Linked DNA regions of Mus musculus: regions 1, 2, 4 and 5 are each reported to be linked to region 3. Evidence: microRNA targets listed by miRTarBase, many of them from high-throughput screens and not tested one by one. Region 3 holds a microRNA gene; each other region holds the end of a gene's coding sequence.
The links. Region 3 holds the annotated microRNA mmu-miR-3066-5p (UUGGUUGCUGUAGAUUAAGUAG, at 2,008-2,029, opposite strand). A microRNA usually pairs through its seed, bases 2 to 8, with sites in the 3' UTR of a target mRNA and lowers its output. Matches are read on the target gene's strand: a 7mer-m8 pairs with bases 2 to 8, a 7mer-A1 pairs with bases 2 to 7 and ends in A, and an 8mer does both.

Region 1: miRTarBase lists Yme1l1 as a target of mmu-miR-3066-5p. Seed matches in the 3' UTR shown: 7mer-A1 at 2,540-2,546.
Region 2: miRTarBase lists Scml4 as a target of mmu-miR-3066-5p. Seed matches in the 3' UTR shown: 7mer-m8 at 3,555-3,561.
Region 4: miRTarBase lists Pnpla3 as a target of mmu-miR-3066-5p. Seed matches in the 3' UTR shown: 7mer-m8 at 2,667-2,673.
Region 5: the mRNA of Prc1 is a reported target of mmu-miR-3066-5p. Seed matches in the 3' UTR shown: 7mer-m8 at 833-839.

What each region holds. Positions count from the first base shown.
Region 1 is chr2:23,196,332-23,200,452 of GRCm38, reverse strand. Yme1l1 (YME1-like 1 (S. cerevisiae)) reads right to left here. Exons shown (of 19, transcript NM_013771.5): 19 at 1,193-3,565. The coding sequence ends at 3,422. Among named protein-coding and RNA genes, the nearest start is that of Potegl, 9.1 kb to the left of the region's middle.
Region 2 is chr10:42,957,100-42,961,220 of GRCm38, forward strand. Scml4 (Scm polycomb group protein like 4) reads left to right here. Exons shown (of 9, transcript NM_172938.3): 9 at 520-3,683. The coding sequence ends at 645. Among named protein-coding and RNA genes, the nearest start is that of Gm5079, 32 kb to the right of the region's middle.
Region 3 is chr12:17,353,312-17,357,432 of GRCm38, reverse strand. Mir3066 (microRNA 3066) reads right to left here and starts at 2,041; the gene lies at 1,959-2,041. It overlaps Nol10 (nucleolar protein 10), which reads right to left. Exons shown (of 21, transcript NM_001008421.1): 4 at 2,119-2,196; 5 at 475-512.
Region 4 is chr15:84,185,786-84,189,903 of GRCm38, reverse strand. It overlaps Pnpla3 (patatin-like phospholipase domain containing 3), which reads right to left. Exons shown (of 8, transcript NM_054088.3): 8 at 383-3,927. The coding sequence ends at 3,819. Among named protein-coding and RNA genes, the nearest start is that of Samm50, 4.4 kb to the left of the region's middle.
Region 5 is chr7:80,314,690-80,318,810 of GRCm38, forward strand. Prc1 (protein regulator of cytokinesis 1) reads left to right here. Exons shown (of 15, transcript NM_001374624.1): 15 at 425-1,570. The coding sequence ends at 496. It overlaps Rccd1 (RCC1 domain containing 1), which reads right to left. Exons shown (of 9, transcript NM_173445.4): 8 at 2,764-2,793; 9 at 1,927-2,361. The coding sequence ends at 2,210. Among named protein-coding and RNA genes, the nearest start is that of Rccd1, 7.7 kb to the right of the region's middle.

The DNA.
Region 1 (4,121 bases), not on the chromosome of region 3:
TGGTCCTCCAAACGGATCACAAATCACTAAGACTCAAGACTTGCCTTAGGTCAATCCGATGGAGACATTTTATAACTTGAGGCCCCTCTTTCCAGTTGACTCTAGTTTGTGTCAACTTGATAAAACAAACCCCTACAAGAACAGTTGGTTCTCTGCTTGTACCATGTGTATGGCTTAATGTCATCAGTCCCAGCAGCAAATGCTTTACACTTGAGTCCTTTCACTGGCTCCTGATTTTTTTTCATTTTCATTTGTTAGGGGGCTTTTTTGTTGCTGTGTTAATTTCTCACAATTTTATTGCTACTGCTCTCTACCACCATTTTATGCTTCACTCACAGTATGTATAAACTCAAAAGATTAAAAAAATTACTTAAATCTATTAAATTGCTCTAACTTCAAAATTACTACCTTGAGGTTTATATTTTCAAAAGGGGTGCTATATATTCTTTGCCACTGACAGTTAAAATTTCCCCTTTTATCTAGTAGTACCTTGACTTGCATCTTGATTTGCTATTTTTCTAATTGTTTCTGGCCTACTGCCTGCTCACTGAAGCTGTGCTGAATCCAACCTCTGTAGCCTAACTTTGCAAAATGGCATTCCATAGTAAGCCTCCCCAGGTCTTCTGTTAAGATTCTTAAGGTCACGATCACTGGAGCTGCAGAAGAACTCTAAACCTAGAACTACCGTGGCTGGATGTGGCATTCAGAGGGAACGGAATCAAGACTGCCGAGGGCTGAGGCATACCTGTTGCTATAGGTTACTCTGAGCTGATGGCCATTACAGTCAGTCACCATCTCACTGTCACCACGGGAAAGTGTCCGTGGGGATCTGTGCAAGCCCAGTATTAGAGTCTGAAACCGGATTCTGTACTTTCTTCCTTTGTCCCCACGGAGAGCATGTATCTTCATGCTCTGCTGTTGAGATGTGGGCAAGTGTAACCTAAGTAATGCACAGCTGTCTTTCTATCATTCCCAACTTAGGATGCTGCAACCAGGCTTGCTTGATACACGTCAAGGTATTTTCACATACAATGAATGATTTAAGTGGGTGTTCATGCTGGGAGATAGAAACAGGAGAGACCAATTCTCATAATTCAATTCAGGCATTTGGATGGCATTGAATATGAGCTCAAAAAAGCTTAAAATTCTTTTCTAAATTCACTCTCCTTAAAATGCTTCAGTTGGAATGTGATAAAATATATCAGGATAAATTCATTTTTATTTGAAAAGAGTCAACTACAAACCTCAACGAAACCAAAACAACCAACCATTCTATGACTCCAGGAATTAACAAGAGACCTACAAAAAAGTATGACTTGTTTCTTCATGAAAATCACTAAATTTAACCCAGAACATGATTCTTTGGTGGTCCTGCCAACTCAGGGCAGCTCCTAGTCCCAAGTTCAAACCAGGGTGAAGAAAGACCCTGTAAATAAGATATGTGTGCCAAGAATGATGCACCCAGAGGCTCAGGTGGAAGGATGTCAGTTGGAGGCTAGCCTAGGCTACAAAACAGAACTTTCTGGAAAGGACTCCAAACTAAACAAACAACAAAAAACAAGCAAACAACAAAAGAACCCACCCCAAGAAAAATATAAAAAAGGCTTATCCTCATTTCACCAGAGAACTCAGCTGCCTTGATGTAGTACTGACTAAATCGGATCGCAATGATCAGCCGCTTACTAGCCTAAAACTGTTGGCTACTCTGCAAGATACAATCAGTGTGATCTTTCTGTGATATGAGAAACCCAGAGGACGTTGATAATCACTTCATGAAATATCCTAGGTTTACCAGACATACAGAGCAGAAAATTCTCCAGCTAATTATATCTACACTTGGTTATTAAAGTCTTTGCATACACACAAAGTAGAAGCAATAAAACCAACTAAACTCAAAAGCCACAGTAAACTTGCTATATAATTTACTGAGACTGGGATTCAATTTGGATGTCGATAGTGAAACAGCACTTTTATGTTGAATAGTGATGAAGCTGAAACTTTACATAATACAAGATACAAAACTGTGTAGTCACTTTGAATTTTGAAGGCTTGAAAAAAATTGTCCTAAAACCTAATTGAGGTAATTACACAATTTTAAAAAGGGGGTGGGGGGGTCTTTGGTATCTATATTTACAATGGATATGTTTTATAACATGAAAATTACAGCTCTATGGGACTGTAAAAATGTCTGAAGTCAGGTTAGATAAAACACCGATGTTTTTCCATATGTGTATGCATGAATATGTAGAGAATGAGGGCACAAGAGAGAAAGAACAAACACATGAACATGAGTGACAATGGAGACAGCAAAAAGCAGTGAAAATTAAAACCTGTTGGTCTTAATCAATATAATGGAGCTCTATCAACATTTTTCACTTTGAAATTGTGAAATTTGTGTGTATCAAAAATTTAACATTAAAAAAGGTCAAAATATCATGTAACAAGGTCCCTTTAATTATATCTATCTTCTTTAATAAGGACCATGAACATCCTCAATAAGAAAACAATGTAATTTTAATAGTTCCTTCAAGAATGTAACTTGGTTGTAACACCAATAAAATGCACTCACACTATGGTCTACTGATCTGAATATGAAATTACCTTGTAAACCCTATAATGTGCAGATGGAACAAGCCTTCCAATTCTGACAAGGCGACAGAGAAAGATCATTTTTGAAAGGAATTGAGTTTTTGGTTTCATTTTGATTTTGAGATTCAATGTAATTATACAGATATTCAGAATATAATGTTACTTGTTTACTTCATAAAATATTGTTGTTCTGAAACAAATCTTGTCAGTGAGATAGTAATATTTGAAAAAATGGGCATACATGCTGCATTTTTAATCCATTACAATCATTTAAATTCTGAGTATATCGTCATATTTACAATTCAAATAGTTTCTTTTAAAGGCCATTTTACAAGGTCAATCAAGAACATAATTAAGTACATCTCAATGGCATTTCTACTAATGTAAGTAGAAATGATTTATCCACAGCATTGTTTTCCCCACAGAGAAATGTTACTATCAGGAGATGGTAGCTTTTCAAATTTACCTTCCAAAAAAAAAAAAAAAAAAAAAAAACCTTACCAATAGATAAAGGCACAATTTTTACTCACTTGGAGTAATTACCCACAAAATGATTGCTTGCTTTCAACATGATTGATTGACATTTTTCAATGTCTTTCTTTAATCCTGACAGTTCTTTATTTATCCTTTCACGTATTTGCTATGAGTTACTAATCTCCAATGGTATCATCACAGGAATAACCAAAATCAAATAATGGGACAGAAGATTGACAAAGTGTTTCACATCCTTGAATTATATACCAAGTCAGGAGTGGGGGTTGAAAAATGTTGCAAAGGAGACTGCAGGACTAAGTATATTCTTGTAATAAAACCAGCAATATCAACAGAGTTATCATCTCACTTCCAATTTCTTTCCCTCAAGAACAATTTGAATCTCTTTGGCATCCAAAGTCTCATAGGTCAGCAATGCTTCTGCCAGGTTCTTATGTTCTTTCGCATGTGTTTTCAAGATATGTTTTGCTCGTTCATATGACTCCTGAAAGAGAAAAACAAGTCATATAAGAAAGTATAGAGATGCAAAAAACATAGGTAAGAAAAATATAAAACTAATGTGGTTTAAAAAACATGTTGATTATGGCCTAGTCGGCCATCACTGGAAAGAGAGGCCCATTGGACACGCAGACTTTGTGTGCCCCGGTACAGGGGAACGCCAGGGCCAAAGTGGGGGAGTGGGTGGGTAGGGGAGTGGGGGTGGGTGGGTAAGGGGGACTTTTGGTATAGCATTGGAAATGTAAATGAGCTAAATACCTAATAAAAAATGGAAAAAAAAAAAAAACATGTTGATTTATACTTTAAAAAAGCATTTAAAAGTTTTGTTTAAAATGCAAATTATTTGTACATAATATAAATAGTATATGCAATGCATTACAATAGAAGAATTCAGAAAATGTTTCAAAAGAGCCTTTGCCTTTCCAAAATGTTCATTTTGTCAGTTTTAACTACTAAGGCATTTCTTTTTTTTACCCCCCAAAGCAGCTAAAGCCTGGCTGTGTCCTTGGAAACCTGCTTTCCTGAAGTTCTTACTCTCATGC
Region 2 (4,121 bases), not on the chromosome of region 3:
CAAATCCAGGGTCTTTAGACAAGAGACATCTCTTATCTCTATTTCTGTGGGTCTGGAGCCTGCCTGGATCTCAGGCGTTGGCAGGGATAAATTCGTGTCTAGGTGTTCTAGGGACAATCTGCTTGCCTGCCTTTCTCAGCTTCACGACCCTCTTTAAAGCCAGGATCATCGACCCTGGTCCTCCTCAGGCTGACCTGTCTGTGGCTCTCTCTGTCTTTACCTGGATAGATGACATATACATGAGATAGTAGGAATGCAGGCGAAACTGTCTGCTTCAATCAAACAAGGGCAGGAATCTGAAAGGTGCAAGGTAGCAACTGAGTTTCCGGAGGGGCTGGGAAGACGAGGGCCTCGTAGTTGCTTGCTTTGTTTCCAAGAGCTTTCCCAGAACAAGTAGTATGCGCGCTCTAATCTACTCACCTGTCCTTAAAGTGCCCCTGGAGCACCCGCGGGGCACCCACGGGGCCATAACTACCGTTTGGCTGCTCTGACTGTCCTTTGGCTTTCCCTTCTCTCCAGGAGATTGATGGCAATGCCTTGTTGTTGCTGAGGAGCGACATGATCATGAAGTACCTGGGACTGAAGCTGGGACCCGCACTGAAACTCTGCTATCACATTGACAAGCTAAAGCAAGCTAAATTCTAAAGAGTTGGAAACAAAGCCCCACATCTCCAGGTTACTTCTGCCAGACCAGCATCCGGCCAACATCATGAGTAGACTGTCCTCTTAAACGTCGCAGCCACAACGACTGTGTCTTCTTATAGAACGTGTGCATCCTTGCCTTTTCTAATATTCCTAGTGGCCCCTTTCAGACACTCAACCGTGTGCTAGACTTGTCAGAAAAATCACAAAAAGGCTATTACAGTGTTCCTGACGTGCTGGTCACTCTTTACGGGTGCTATTTGTGCCGCGACAGAGTGGATAACTGAATGCTGTCACACAAGGAGAGCCCTGGAGGGGGCTCACAAAGTCCCTGCAGGGGCTGTGGGGACGCCCCCAGTGGCGGTGGCAACTGCTCCCTGTTCTTGGGACCGATCAGCATGAGTTTCCCTGGACTCAGCCCTGGAAGTTGTCTTCTGATGACCACCTCGCCTTGCACTATCTGGAAAACTTGAATTTTTGTTGCTGTTTTTTTGTCCGTTTGTTTGTTTTTGTTTTTGTTTTCCGCTCTCGAAGAGAAAAGGGAAAGGATGTTTTGGAGCCCTAGCTACTGAAGTCCTTCCTTGCTCCACTAGAGGGCAGACTGCTAACGAGGTTTCGGGATGCACAGACTGCGTGGCCGGGGTAGGGTTTTTATAAGCAAGACCTCGCTTGCACAGGGACAGGGAATGAAGTCCACATTGAGCACCCCAGATTGCCACTTGGGAAGAAATCAGGCTCTGTCAGGCGGGGTCCAGCTCATATCCATTACTTACTGACTTACTCGGTACAAATTCCGAAGCAGCCATCTGCCTAAACAAAGACTGGTGTCCCTTCTCTCCCAGAGTCTCACTGAGGCTCTGATATGACGGCATGCTGAAGAATCTTGGTGACATTTAGCTATGGGTATTTCTTGAAAAAAAGGCGGGGGGCGGGAACTGTCTCGACAAAGTTTGAAATAGGACATACTGATTTCTAGTTTCATGGCTGCGTTCTTAGCTGTGTGTCTGTGGCTAATTTTTCTAGTCTTCAACAAATACGCAGACGTGTTTTTATTGGGTTTAATTCAATTTACAAATAGGTTTTTACTCTTCACTGTGAAGTAATGGGAAAAAATTGATTTTCTACCCTTTGCAGCTGTGTCCAGAGAGGGGGGTGGAGCCAGGGTTTCCTAGGCAGAAGGGTGACCTCTTTACTGCCTATTCTTTATGGAATCCCTCCCCCTTTGTTTATTCTCGATGAATAGAGAACTCATGGGCACAGCCTTTTCCTTAAAGGCACATCTGGGGAAGGTGAGGGTCAAGGATAACCTAGGGTCTCCCTTGACAATAGTATGAATTTTAGAAAGGCACCTTCCCTCAGGCTGCAGTCTGAGCAAGATCTCAGCTGGCAAGTGTAGCCAGACGTCCTGGACTGTAACAAGATAAATGCGGTCTCTCAGATGGATCTACCTATTGTACCAATCAGGTAGAATTTAGGTAAAGAGCACAGGACATACTCCATGCTGTGCTATAAGGGCCCACTTTGATGTTCCCTGTTTGTGGGAGTGTGACATGACCCTGCAAGATCTTTGTTACATATACACGGGTGGTTGGACTTAAGTAAGACAGAGAAGGAGAAAATTGTCCCAGAGCTTCCCACTGAATGGAACTTGATCAGGCTGTGGATGAGCCGGATGTCTGTTATTGCTAGCATGAGGCAGAAATGACCTTGAATTAGACCTTGGAGAGACTCTTTAAGATGATAAAGCAATGAGCGGACTCTGCCTAGAAGAAGATTTTTAACTCTGGGTGCTCGCTGCTGCTCTGAAGTTAGATCCTTGTCTCAGAAAGCATCAGGCAGTTCCCACATACAGAACTGCTTGTGTGAAAGCTTTGAGATTAGACCGGTCACTTCACACAAACGTTTGCCCTTCCCTGGAGGTTCACGGTGCCTCTTCCAGGGACACGGGCTCCTTAGTGAGTGGTGGTATTAAGCTTGCCAAATGTCCTGCCTAAACTTACCCATGTCTCACTGGTGCCCCAAGTTAAAACAAGGCCAAACAAGTCAGGGGAGGCCTCTAATAATTTTTGAAGGAGAGCTAGAACCCAGTTCAAGTCTGTGGAGGAACGGAGCTGTGTCCCCAGACATGATGTCTTATTTCACACGAAGCCTTAAATTAGCTCAATTGTAGAATTCCAGATATTTAAGGTTTGGCCAAACAAAACAAAATAAAACAAAACACCAAGAAGCAATCTCATTAGTCTTGGAATGAGGGGCTGCCACATCACAGAAGGCCCAGCGGAACCAATTCTTCTTGCCTGTTTTTTCATAGAATCTAATTAGTTGACCAAATCAGCATTGCAATACTGCAAGTATAATTAATTTTCATCCCTCTCAAAAATCTTGTCAAACAGCGCAGCTAAATAGCTTCTCAAATGTAAAACATGCAAGGCCACTTCCTCTAAACAGACCTTCCAGGGTCAGACCGTAAGGGTTACCCTGGCCCAGATGAGCAGGACTTGAACTCACACCTGATAGTTCACAGGCTTGCTCTTCCAGCTGCACAGCATTGCTTCAGCTTGGAGTGGATAATGATCACATTTTGCATAATTCCAAATTAAAGAGTGTGGGTGCTCATGTTCCAAACATTTCCAATTACATTTGTCTGTTAAACACTTGGGGGAGGGAGGTTTCAAGAGAGTTCTGTTGCCTAAAGCATTTTAAATGTTTTATGAAACACATTATTCCCTTTGTGAAGATTTTAGATAAAAGATGTGGCCTGTGTGTATGAGTCTGTGTGTGTATTTGTGTATCTCTCTCTGTGTGTCTGTCTGTGCCTCTGTGTGTGTATGTGTCTGTTTATGGGGCTGGAGAGATGACTCAGCAGTTAAGAGCACTGACTGCCCTTCCGAAGGTCCTGAGTTCAAATCCCAGCAACCACACCGTGACTCACAACCCTCTGTAATGGGATCCTATGCCCTCTTCTGGTGTGTTTGAAAACAGCCTACAGTGTGTTTGAAAACAGCTACAGTGTACCCAAATATAATAAATAAATCTTAAGGAAAAAAAAAAAGAGTCGCCACTTTCTGAAACCAGATCACTATGTTTATAAAAAAAAAAAAAAAGGATGTCTCTGTGTGTGTCTGTATGTCTTTCTGTGCCTGTCTATAAACCTGTGTGTGTATATTTGTGTCTGTCTGTGTGTGTGTGTCTATGCATCTCCAGATACTGGAGTTGAAAAATCTAAGAAGTGGTTGTGAGGATAGCAGCTATTGCATGTTCTCAAATATCTTTCCAGCTTTGTAGTGCAGAGGCGCGGCATGGTCTGGTGCGGCATGGTCTGTTACGTGTAGGCATTTCCTCTTATTGTAGCAGGGCCTGTTCTGTGCACAGCTAGATGACCAGAACAGTCCTGGTGCCTAGACTTGTTCCTCTGAATCAGCTGAGTGGAAATGTCAGGACCTGAGGACCTGGATGCCGCAGGAAAGGCCTTACTGGAG
Region 3 (4,121 bases):
ATCGCGACCATAAGGTACCTAACAAAGGGTGACTGCTACCAATCCCTTAGAATAAAGGTGAGGCCTGGAGACACTGACAACCAACTTGACGTTAGGGTGAGCAAAAGTTCACTCCCAGTGTTTTGTTTTTCTTTTTTTAAAGATACTGTACATCATACATGTACTTGGCCGAAAAATGACAGAAAATGATATATTACCTATTATTACACAGTGATTTTTTTTTTTTATCGCTGGGAATTATCTTAAAAATATTTACTACAAAAATAAGTCCCAGAGCCAGAGACACAGTTCAGCAGTTAAGAGCACTTGCTGTTCTTTCAGAGAACCTGGGATCAGATCAGCAGCTCACAATCCCCTGAGGATCTGATGCCCCCTCTGGCTTCCAAGGGCAACTGCACATGCACGGCGTTCACTGTCAAAGACACACACGTGCATATAAATAAAAATAAAAAGTAAATATGCTATAAAACATACCTTTGAATAGTCATCTGATAAAATCTCAAAGGTGACAACTGAAAAATAGGAAAAAAAAAAAACCACAATTATCAACCAGTGTTTAAACAAAACCACAAACTTCAGGTGAGGATTCTAATTGTTTTTGTTTTAAATGTATTCACCATTGCTCTCTTCAGATACACCAGAAGAGGGCATCAGACAGATGGTTTTGCGCACCCATGTGGTTACTGGGAATTGAACTCAGGACCACTGGAAGAGCAATCAGTGCTCTTAACCACCGAGACATCTCCCCAGCCCTCTTAACTGGTTTAACTGGTGAATAATTATATATAATTGCTGTGTTTGTCCTACCTCTCCATGCAACAAGAAGAACATCCCCACTAATACTAAATGGAAAGTTATTACTTACATCTAGATTTTTTTTTAACAGAACTAAAGTAAATTTAGGATGATCCTAAACATTTTTGCCATAATTTTGCTGAGATGTTCTTAGTAGTTTTAAGATTTTGAAATATAATCTAAACAGCAGCCTTTAAAATGGGACCCCAGGCTGGGTGTTCCTGTGGTGGTGCAGGACTTTACTCCTAGCACTTGGGAGAGAAAGAAAGACCTCTGCGAGTCTAAGGCCAGTCTGGTCTAGATAATGAGTTCTGAACCTGCCATGACTGCAAAGAGAAATCCTGTCTCAAACAAACAAACAAACAAAAAAAAAAAAAAAGAAAGAAAGAAAGAAGGCAACAGTAACTCTTCGCCTATACCAAGTTTACCTCTACACAAAAACATTGTAAAAGATGTGTTATTAATAGCATACAAAGTTTCTATGTTCTCTAGCAGCAAGGGTGAGACTAGGAAGGTATGCTGGTTATTCTACACAGCGCTGTATCCCATTTACTTCTCTCCCATTGTTCCTAAAACACTGGTTAACTGATAATAACTGACCCTTGCCATTTTACCTTGCTGTCTGTATTAGACAGAATTCTCAAAATGCCCCCTGTGACCTTCACAGGGCACCAGGCCCCTGCTGAGAGTAGATGCTCCCTGAGGTTCCATTATACAATATGACCAAGGGAAGATTTGTTTAATCACATGAACCTCTTAAAAGAAGAAGTCTCTCGGGGAGGGAGATAGGACTCGGTGGTTAAAAGCATTTGTTCCAGAACACCCAGGTTCGAGCAAGTCCCAGCACCCACATGCACCACATCTGTAACTCCAGTCTATGTGGATCAGATGCCCTCTTCTGGCCTACTATGGTATCAGGCACATGCATAGTGCACAGATATGCAGGCAAAATACCCATACACATAAGATTTTTTTAAAAAATGCTGGCAGCCTTATAAAGCAAATGGAGTCCAGCTGAGACCCAGCAAGAAGGGAGACACTACCTTCCAGACCCATAGTCCCATAGCCATACCTTTGTGAGGCTGGAAGCCTACTCTAGACCAGCCTTAAAGGTAAGAGCCCACCTGGCAGATCCCCTGAGAGAAGCCCTGTGCGCAGCCCAGAGCATGGCCAGTGCAGGTTGCGGTCTATTAAGTGCAGCATCATATTAAACTACTTAATCTACAGCAACCAAAACATACCACACTACTCACTCCCATTTTAAAGAGCAGTACAATAGACAATTATGAAAAGCTATTTATGAACTCAGGGTTGGCCTCTTACCTTCAGAATCCAAGCACCTTTCAAACTTCAGGGATAACTGATATGTGTCATAACACCGGACCCGAGGCTTATATGTTCCTATAAAAAAAATTAGCATGATGCAAAACCAAAGTTGCATAGCCACACCTTATACAACTGCTTTGTGCTCTTTCTGTCCTGAGGTAAGATAATTATCCTCAAATCAAAGAACCACAGAGAATGAAATTAAAATACCTTAGAAGAGTCACAGTAATCCAGCGAAGAAGACAGAAACAATCAAACAGCTTGACAAGACAAAAAAGGATGCTTAATATTTGTGTCAGTCAACTTCCCTGATAATGTCCAATACATGTAAGGTATGTGACAGAAATTCACCTTGAAACTGTATTTCATTTTACACCACTAGGACTACAGAAACCCAGCCACAAGCATAACAGCTACAGGAAGAATGTCACTGCACCTTGTGTCACACACGGCCAAAGATTAAAAGCAAACAGGCTCCACTGATAGGGCCTTGCTTAAATAAACGGTGGTAACCCCCACCAGGAAACATGGTGCACACAAAGATGAGCAGAGCCGCAGCACCAATAACAGACTCCCAATGTGTGCCGTGCAGTTGGTTCTCTCTGTCCACCACGTGGAGTCCAGGGATGGAACTCAGGCTCCTCAGCCAGCACCCTTACTGGCTGAGCCACCTCAGCAGCTCCCAAATGGTAAGAGAAGTGAGTTCGAAGACTGCAACACAGTACATATAATCCCAATTCTGTGAAGCTAAAGGCAGCTGCATAGAGATGGTGAGTAGAGAAAGTGTAGACACAGCAACTGCCTAGGGATGCTCACATCTTACGTCACGTTCTTCTATAATGTTTGCATGCCATATAATGTACCATGCTTGCATTGCAGTGAGGAAAAATAAAGATAACTTTGTTGTTGTTGGTTGTTTGTTTTTCAAGACAGGGTTTCTCTACGTAACCCTGGCTGTCCAGGAACCCGCTCTAATAGACCAGGCTGGCCCCAAACTCAGTGATTTACCTGCCTCTGCCTCCCAAGTGCTGGGATTAAAGGCGTGCGCCGCCGCCGCCACCACCACCAGGTAGGCTTTACTTTTATCTTAGAGACTTTTCATCAATGATGAACATCAATAATGAACATTGATAGTCCCAGAACCGAAGTTTTGATTGTAATTGCTTTTAATTTAAATATCTCTGTACAGCTAGTGACTGTTATGGGACAGTGTGGTTGGGTGTAGGGTCCTCTTGTTTACCTCCACTCTGGCCCTTTCCTTGGAGATAGAAGTGGATTTAGGAATCCACTGCTGTCTGCTTAGGGTGGTAGAGCTAGGCCTTTCATCTCTGGCTTCTGCCACTGCCTCCATCTTTGTCACTGCTCTAGGACTTGTGGCTAAAAATAAGTTGGATAAAATTTGTTCCTGGAGATTGAAACGTCAAGACAGGGACATTTACTATCCACAGGAATCAGACCAGGGCATGTGCAAGCTGTGACCGGTCACAGAGCTAAGCAGCCTCTTGGCTTCTTTTGGAAACATTCAGTTTAGAGTCAGGCCAGATTCACACGTGCTCCTTTCCTTCTCTTCAGTGCTGGGGACCAAACCCTGGTGATGCATTTTTAATCTCAGCACTTGGGAGGCAAGGGCATCTCTGTGCGTTTGAGGCCAACCTGTTCTACACAGCCAGGTCTAAGACAGCCAGAGCTGCATAGTGTGAGCCTGTTTACATCAAATAGTAACAAAACCCTACCACTTGACCTACCCCAAAGAGCACTGGGCCCATCTTTCAGTATCTCTGGATCTAGAAGACCTGAATTAAAGGTCTAAGTTCCTTCCAGCTCTCAGTAACTGTGTCCAAACATCTCAGGTCTTCTCAACTCTCTTTCCCAGTTTCTCAAAATAAAAACAGAGGCTGAAGGTATCACTGTTAAGAGACTGGCTGCTCTTCCAAAGGACCAGGGCCCACATGATGCCTACAACTGTATGTAAGTCCAGTTCCTGGGATCCAAAGCTCTTT
Region 4 (4,118 bases), not on the chromosome of region 3:
CAGGGCTGGCCTCACCTGTGGCCAGAGAGAGTCACATGCGCACCCAGCCCTTTGTCACAGTTATTTGCTCCAGACTTTTCCCTCAGTGGTTCTGGAGACTATGCCATTGTCCTTTCCCAACGCTTCCTAGAAATGCACATTCCAAGCTGATGTGGTTGTGTGTGAACATGGTACTGGGAAGGCTGAGGCAGGAGAATGGAAAAAGCAGGTGAGCCTGAACTACATAGTTCCAGACCAGCCGGGGCTATACAGCACCAACCCAGTCATTTTGCAGTGTGGAGGACATTCAGCCTGCACGCCTACAGGGAAGAACACAAACTTATAGAGGAAGCTGTCCCACAGGCCCTTTTAGTTGTAGGAGAGGCAGAAGAGACAGAGAATACATTTTTCTAAAAAAAATCACATTTATTTGTTTTTTGTTCCCCACATTTATTATGGACCCTTTTCCCTTAAACAGTTGTGGTTATTTTTGGTGTATCCATTCAATCCTTCTGCTGTTCCACTAGTTTGCATACTCATTTGCATAAATTCACCCACACCTGCTTTTAATAAACAAATGAACCAGCCTTGCTAAGGGGCTTACAAGTCAAGACATTGCTCCCTGCTGCTCACTGTCTGACTCCTGAGGTGTTCCTGAGAATGGAGAGACTCCAAACCAGTGGGAGTTTTGTCTGATAGGGTGGCAGGAATATTCTCTACTGATGAGAAACGTCCAGAAAGGGGCAGCTCAAAGCAAGGCAGAAGTTTCTACTTTTTTTTTTTTTTTTTTTTGAGACAGGGTCTCATGTAGCCAGAGCTAACCTCCAACTCCCTAAATAGCCAAGGAAGACCTTGAACTTATGATCCTCTTGCCTCTACTGCTTGAGTGTTGGGATTACAGGCCGATGTCACTGCCTGTCACTCCACAGTTTATAAGGTGCTGAGATTGGACTCTGGGCTTCAAGCCTAGAGAAGTCCTCTGACAACTGAGCTGCACCCTAGTTCCTGGTTTCTTTTCTTTCCTTGGGACAGTCTTATCTTCTGTGTAGCCTAGACACTTTGTCTCTAGAACCACATTCTCTCTCCCAGAGTCCTTTCTTATCCCATCTGGATCAACCGTGCTGAGATTATATGATTCCTCCTGATGTGCTTGCATGAACCTGGAGCTCACTAGGCCTCCAGGAGACTCAGGCATGGGAGACACACACCTTCACTGTCTACACTTAGGAGTATGGGCAGCACCTGGTTTCTTTTGTTTGCTTGTTTCCTTTCTAAAGTGTGAATTACAGGAAACACACACCACACCCACAGCTGTATAGTACACCTGAGAGAAGTGGGTACTTATTCCCATTAACGCTGCTGGTAGTAGATGGGGAGGGAGAGAGGTGGTCATGGCTGATGACTATACAAAGATTTGGAGCCAGTGGAGAAAGCAAGCAAGTTGAGGTTGAGGAGGCAGAGGTCCGATGCTCTCCCTACCTAATTCTAGCCCCACTTAACTGATCATACGTGTAGTTCACCATGCACTCCCTGGTGTGTTTATATAAAATGCTTTATAAATTAGTAAGAGCCAAAGGTGTCCTTAAAAGTAATAAGTTATCTGGCAGGCCCTTTTCAGAGACAGCCACGGCCCGTCCCATCACAATTCCTAAACAGTTTCCTTCCGAGATTGCCCGGTTTGGATTCCAGTTTCCAAACACTGATGCCCTTGGGCTCCCCACTGACTCACAGGCTGAGAGATGGTTTGACACGCTCTTTGTGATAGCCCTTAAGCACCAGACTTCACCCAGACCAAGAGTAGCTTTCTAAACACCAAATCATTGTCTTTGGTTTCTATGGACTACCACTTTAGCCCAGATCCTGTGATCCTGGGGTCACAGGCAATGAGGTCACCACACAGCACCAGGGGGCAGCTGCACAGAGAAACTTCCTAGCTGCCTCCAAAAGTAACAGAACCCTTCCCAGAGGGACAGACAGTATAGCACCCCTCACCCACCCATCATCTAGACACTGTTGCTCCAGATAAAAGGTCAAGCTGGACTGGGGGTGGAAGGCAGGGTGCCCTCAGCTTTGGCCTCTCCTGGACCAACCATGAGAAGAATGTCCAAGTTCACTGGAAGCACGGAGACCAGCAATTTACAAACCAAGATTGCAGGCTCTCAGGTCTTCAGTATTGTAAGAACATGATTGATGTCAGAATCCAGACTCTGCTCAGGTCTCTTCACAGACACTGACAGGCATCTCATAATATTTTACCCCAGAAGTGAGTCTGTCAGCATCGAAGGGGTTTACATCCTGCTCCCCACCCCCTGCCTGCCTCGAGCCTGGCTGTAGGCTCTTGCAGTCAACCTCCCTCATCCTCAAAAGCTCTAAAGAGAGAGTCCCTCCTCTGCTGTGTGGGCTCAGAATCTCTTCAAAGACCCCATCCTGCTTCTATCTCCGATGCCGGGGCCTGAACTCCCTGGTAGCCCCGACTATGCTGTTGTCCTTCTGTCTGTCTGTCCATAGCATTAAAAACTCCTCCAATCAACTTGATAAACCACTTACTCCCCAGGAATTTCTCTCAGAGTTCCCTAGAACTCCACACCTCACCCAAAACCTAATAGATACCTGTAGAGAGAATATGTTATGGATTATATAGATGCATCCACCTGTCAATTAAAAAAAAAAAAAAACCACACCGGGCATGGTTGCGCACGCCTTTAATCCCAGCACTCAGGAGGCAGAGGCAGGCGGATTTCTGAGTTTGAGGCCAGCCTGGCTTACATAGTGAGTTCCAGGACAGCCAGGGCGATACAGAGAAACCCTGTCTCGAAAAACCAAAAATAAATAAATTAATTAATTAAATTAAATTTGGAAAAAAAAAACAAAAACAAAACCATGGCCTATAGGAAAAGGTGGAATAGAAGGTGGAACATCCAGGAGGCAGAAAGAATTATGGAAGATTCATCCGGAAAGATGTGAAGAGCTGGACTCATGGTACCTGAGCACAGGCCACCAGCCATGTGGCAGGATGGAGGTTAAAATTAATGAGTTAAGTTATGAGCTAGTCTGAGAAGAGCCTAGCTATATGGCCAAGGTATTTGTAACTATAATTTGGGTCTGAGTCTTATTTCTGGGAGCATGGGGCTGAGAGGAAGAACCAGCTGTAACTTCTACAGATGCCAGAGAGGGTGGAGCCAGGCAGGGGTGCAACCCAGAGCCACAGCTTCCTCCTGCCTTCAGTGCTGAGGTGTCAGTCCCATCCCTTAAGGCCTTCTCCACCACCTGAACACCCACAGCTTCACCCACCAATAAGCCCTCACCTGGGCCATGGGTTCCCCCCACACAGCACCATGTTCCTTGTCACCTGCTTGACACTGAGTCAAACATTGCTAGAATGTTTGCACAGCCTGAGCACCAAACCTTGCAGTGGTTCTGGCAGAAGAGGCATGCTGAAGAGACAGCTGTGCCTTCCCTTTGGTTTTCAGCCCTTTGATACAATGGAGGCCAAGGAATTGGGATTGTCCCAGGAATCTCATGCTAGGGAGAGAAAGAAGGAACCTTGAAGCCCAGACAATGGTGGGCAGGACCACGCCCTGATTCAGACTGTTTATGTGTAACTCTGTTTAAACTTAAGCCTCCTGTTGGTATCTTAAAGATTAACCGGGTGGGGGCTTGAACCTTTTTATATTCGAATAAACCTGCTTTCTCTGCTACCGGTTTCTTTAATGGCATGCTGGGGACAGGCGGCTGAGCCTGGCTTGTTAAGGCTGTCACCACCCAAGCTCTGACCCTAAGAGCTCTGGGAACAACCGGGAGGGATGCCTATCTGGCCCACACACCCTGGGCCCAAGTATTTACCTGGTAGAGGGGAGCAGGCACATCGTCATTCGGGCACAAACCTGGGATGTCGCCCATTGTAGCCACTGGATATCATCCTGGATATCAGGGAGCCATGTCACCAGCCTGTGGGAAGGAAGCCAAGGACACTATTGGCTTACAGGTGATTCTGGTTTCCTCCCAGGGACCTAACAACAGAGACCTAGCAACAGCTTAGGTCATCACCTGCCTCCATTGCTACCTGAGCTGCCACCAGGTGTGGGTGGCCTGGGAGCTTGTAAGAGGACCATGTTACCCCGGTCCCCTTCTCTATCTCC
Region 5 (4,121 bases), not on the chromosome of region 3:
ATGAGATCAAATCACCAGCAGGTTACAAAGCCCTCAGCCCCAGGGATTGGTAGATAAGTCACCTGACCCTTGTTATGCAAAGGGGTCAAGAAACCAAAGCTGCTAGCATGTGCCAGGCTTTGGGCTTCTATCCCCAGCAGGGTGAGAAAGCACCGAAGTTTGTTGCTCTCTTGGCCAGACAACTACTACCATGTGAAATGTAAGGGGTTTCTCTTGGTGAAGTTTACGATTGGACTGGGAATGGGCTATGTGCACACGTGCTAGGCTTGTGCTTGTGACTGACAGAATGGTGCTAGGGTTCCTTAGCACAGCAGTGCTGGGAACTCAGGAACTTCCCTGGCGGCTTTGTGCTAAAGCTCCTCGAGCACGTGTAAAGCGAGGGGTGTAGACTGACTACTCACTAATGGTGCTTGTTTCTCAACAGCGAGAACTTTCAAAGGCTTCCAGATCTGATGCTACGTCTCGAATCCTCAATTCAACCAACATCCAGTCCTGAGAGTCCTTGTCCAGTTAGGCAGCTGGGGCTTCCTGTGCCTGGACTGGACTGACGGATACGTAGACAAGGAGTGACATATACATTTCCATCAGTTTAGATGTTTGAAACTACCTTGGGCAGGTTCTATTAACTGCACCTAACTCAGACGTGAGTAGGACAGAAGGAAGCTGTCCCGGGCGAACTGAGGTCACAAAGACTTGCTTTTGATTCAAGAGAGACCTTAAAGGCTAGTTATGATAGTTAAGTACAAGTTTTAACATCTGGTAGCTAACTTTTTTTCTCTACCCCGTAATTCTACTATGACTGCTCTTCTAGAGGTCCTGAGTTCAAATCCCAGCAACCACATGGTGGCTCACAACCATCTATAATGGGATCTGATGCCCTCTTCTGGTGTGCAGAAATAATTTTTTTTTTAATTCTACTTATTTCAATACTATATATTAGAAAATGAAAAAACGATTGTGGCCTGCTTTGGCATACAGGGGTACAAGACATGAAGTAATTCTGGTAACATCTAAAAATATATATATTTTTGTTCGCGGACATTTGATTAATGCTGTAGCTATGGAAGCTTTGATGTCACCCAGAGGCGTGTACCTGGCTGGCACTATCCCAGTGAGGGTTTCTTGAGTTCCAGTATGAGATGGCCTGACCTGCTGCCAAAAAGAGTAGCAGTCATTTCTGTAGTGCAATTTCTTGAGGTATATGTGTGAACACACATGCTTGTCTGACCTGTTGAGTTTTTCTCCAGTCTCCCAACCCTGTGCTCATTAGGCCCAGTCTGTTCCCTGTAGATGACAACCACATAGAGAGGCTGTCTGGTGGGCTGGGCCATTCCTGTCATGGAGTCAGCAACTTTGCACATCTACAAGTTATCTGTGTAATCACGTCCACAATGAGGCTCTCCAAACCCATCACTACTCTTCCCCAAAGCACTATATTTATTCTGTCTGTCTGTGCCAGTTCTGCCCACACTGACTGATCTTGAAAACCTGTCAGTCTGCTCTTCACACACATATATGTTGTTTTTAAATGTATGAAAATAAAATGTGTATAGTTACCTTTTAAATACTACACTGTTTTGTCTTCAATGGTTGCTTTGATCTATAGATTAAACTCACTAAAAGGCGAAGTGCAAAGGATTTAGAAGTTTCAAGAGTCTCAGAATAGTTTGGATTTACTCTTTTTCATTTGGGGATATTTTCTCATTTTGCAGCTATTAAAGCCTCTGGGCTGGGTATAGCTAAGCTGTTGGTGCACGTGGAAGGCCTGGCACTACTCCAGAAATTAGATATAGATATATATACATATACATGTATATATTTACATACAAAAATATTTATATATATATATAAATATAAATTGAAGATATATATATCTTCAATTTATATTTATATTATTATTTATACATTTATTATTTATTATTTTTTATTTATTTATTATTATTTATTTATTATTTATTATTTATTTATTATTTATATATATATATATAAATATAAATTGAAGATATATATATCTTCAATTCTTTCATACATGCCTTGTAAGCTTTGTCTTATTCTGAAATCATGCACCTTTAATCCCAGCACTTAGAAGGCAGAGGAGATCGCTGTGAACCTTGTTTCAAAACTTAGGTTTCCATGCACCTAGGACAGCATGTTGAAGCAGAGTTCTTTCTCACCCAGGCACATAAGTGGGGATCCACTAAGGGATAGTTCAGCTTTTGTCTCTTTCCATTGCATAGACATAGGTATTCCAGGGTCCACATGTCACAGCCCTTACTTCAAGTTGTCTTTCTACAAAGTACTCCACACAGCAGGGTCGATCCAAGCTGGTGCTGTCCTTGTGGCCAAGCTGTCCGTATTTACCTAGAATGAAAGGAAGCCCTTCCTCTTCTAGGCCTTGCTGCTTTCCCCTCAGAAAGATGCCAGCCCACATACTGCCTTGAGAGCTATACACAGCCTGATGGGTCTTGTGTGGATTCTGAAAACTTAAGCCCAAGCCAACTGTGGGGTCCCCGGAGAAGTCTCTGCTACCTACATCAAGATGAGAACAGCTCCTTCACCCTGGCCATCTTATTTCTCTCATGTCTGCCCTTGGGCCTCCTAAGTGTATCTGTTCTCCCACCCAAGGGAGAGCGTTTTTTTTTCAGTCCTCCCATTGCTCAGGCTGCGACCCCTGCCCCTCTAGTTTGTGTAACTTGGTCATGACCTGTTCTATTTTCTCTGGTCCTTCCCCTTGATTTAATGATCAGGAAACTTTTTACTTACCCCAGCCCCAGGTATAGAGTTCTCCTGTGCCTGCAACCAAAGAGACAGTGAGTAGCTGCCATCTACTGTTCTGCTCCCAGCAAGATACCACTCAGCCTGGCACAAGTCACAGACAGCAAGCTGGGATTATGCTCTATCACATGTGGGCTGGTAAAATGCCAGGGATCAAAAAGCTGAACTTTCTAGGTACCAACTGGCCTCAATACATGGAGTCACACCCTCTGTGGGACAGGTTTTCTGCCCACAACTGATTAACCAACCACCTTTTAGAAGAACATATTGGCCTAAAGCTGTGGAGTCAACCTTTTTTTTTCGTTTTTTAAAGATTTGTTTACTATTTTATGTATATGAGTACACACTGTAGCTGTACAGATAGTTGTGAGCCTCCATCTGGTTGTTGGGAATTGAATTTAGGACCTCTGCTGGCTCTGATCCAACCTCCTCACTCCAGCTGGCCCTGCTCACTCAGGCACAAAGATTGATTTATTATAAATATAGTCAGATCTCATTACAGGTGGTTGTGAGCCACCATGTGGTTGCTGGGATTTGAACACAGGACCTTTGAAAGAGCAGTCATTGCTCTTACCACTGAGCCATCTCACCAGCCCCCTTTTTTGTTTTATTACAATGGTTCTCTCCCTTCCTAATGCTGAGACACCTCAGTACAGTTTCTCAGACCTCAAAGCTTCAGTCTCCTGCCTCATTCCAAGGGTTAGTATTGGAGGTGAGTGCCACCTTTCCCAGCATGAAACTTTTCTTTTTTTTTTTTAATTATATATATATTTTTTAAAAGATTTATTAATTTTTATGTATATGAGTACACTGTAGCTGTGCAGATGGTTGTGAGCCACCATGTGGTTGCTGGGATTTGAACTCCGGACCTTCGGAAGAGCAGTCGGGAGCTCTTAACCACTGAGCCATCTCTCCAGCCCTAAATTCAGCTTCCTTAACAAACCATCAAATATATAGTTCCTCCATGTTGATTTAAAAAATAATAAGCTGGGCAGTGGTGGTGCGCGCCTTTAATCCCAGCACTTGGGAAGCAGAGACAGGCAGATTTCTGAGTTCCAGGCCAGCCTGGTCTACAGAGTGAGTTCTAGGACAGCCAAGGCTGTACAAAGAAACCCGGACTAGAAAAAAAACCCAAAAACAAGAAAGAAAGGAAGGAAGGAAGGAAAACATAGTAGTGATGTGCTTGCTTAGCTCAGTAGAGGCCCTGGACTCATCCCCAGCACATGATGGGGTCTATAATCACAGCTGCTCCAAAGCCTGACAACTGCTTCAGTCCAGGAGTTTCAAAATAATTCTGTATAAATGGAGACTCTTTCTAAAATTAAAAATGGGCAGGCATGGCAAGC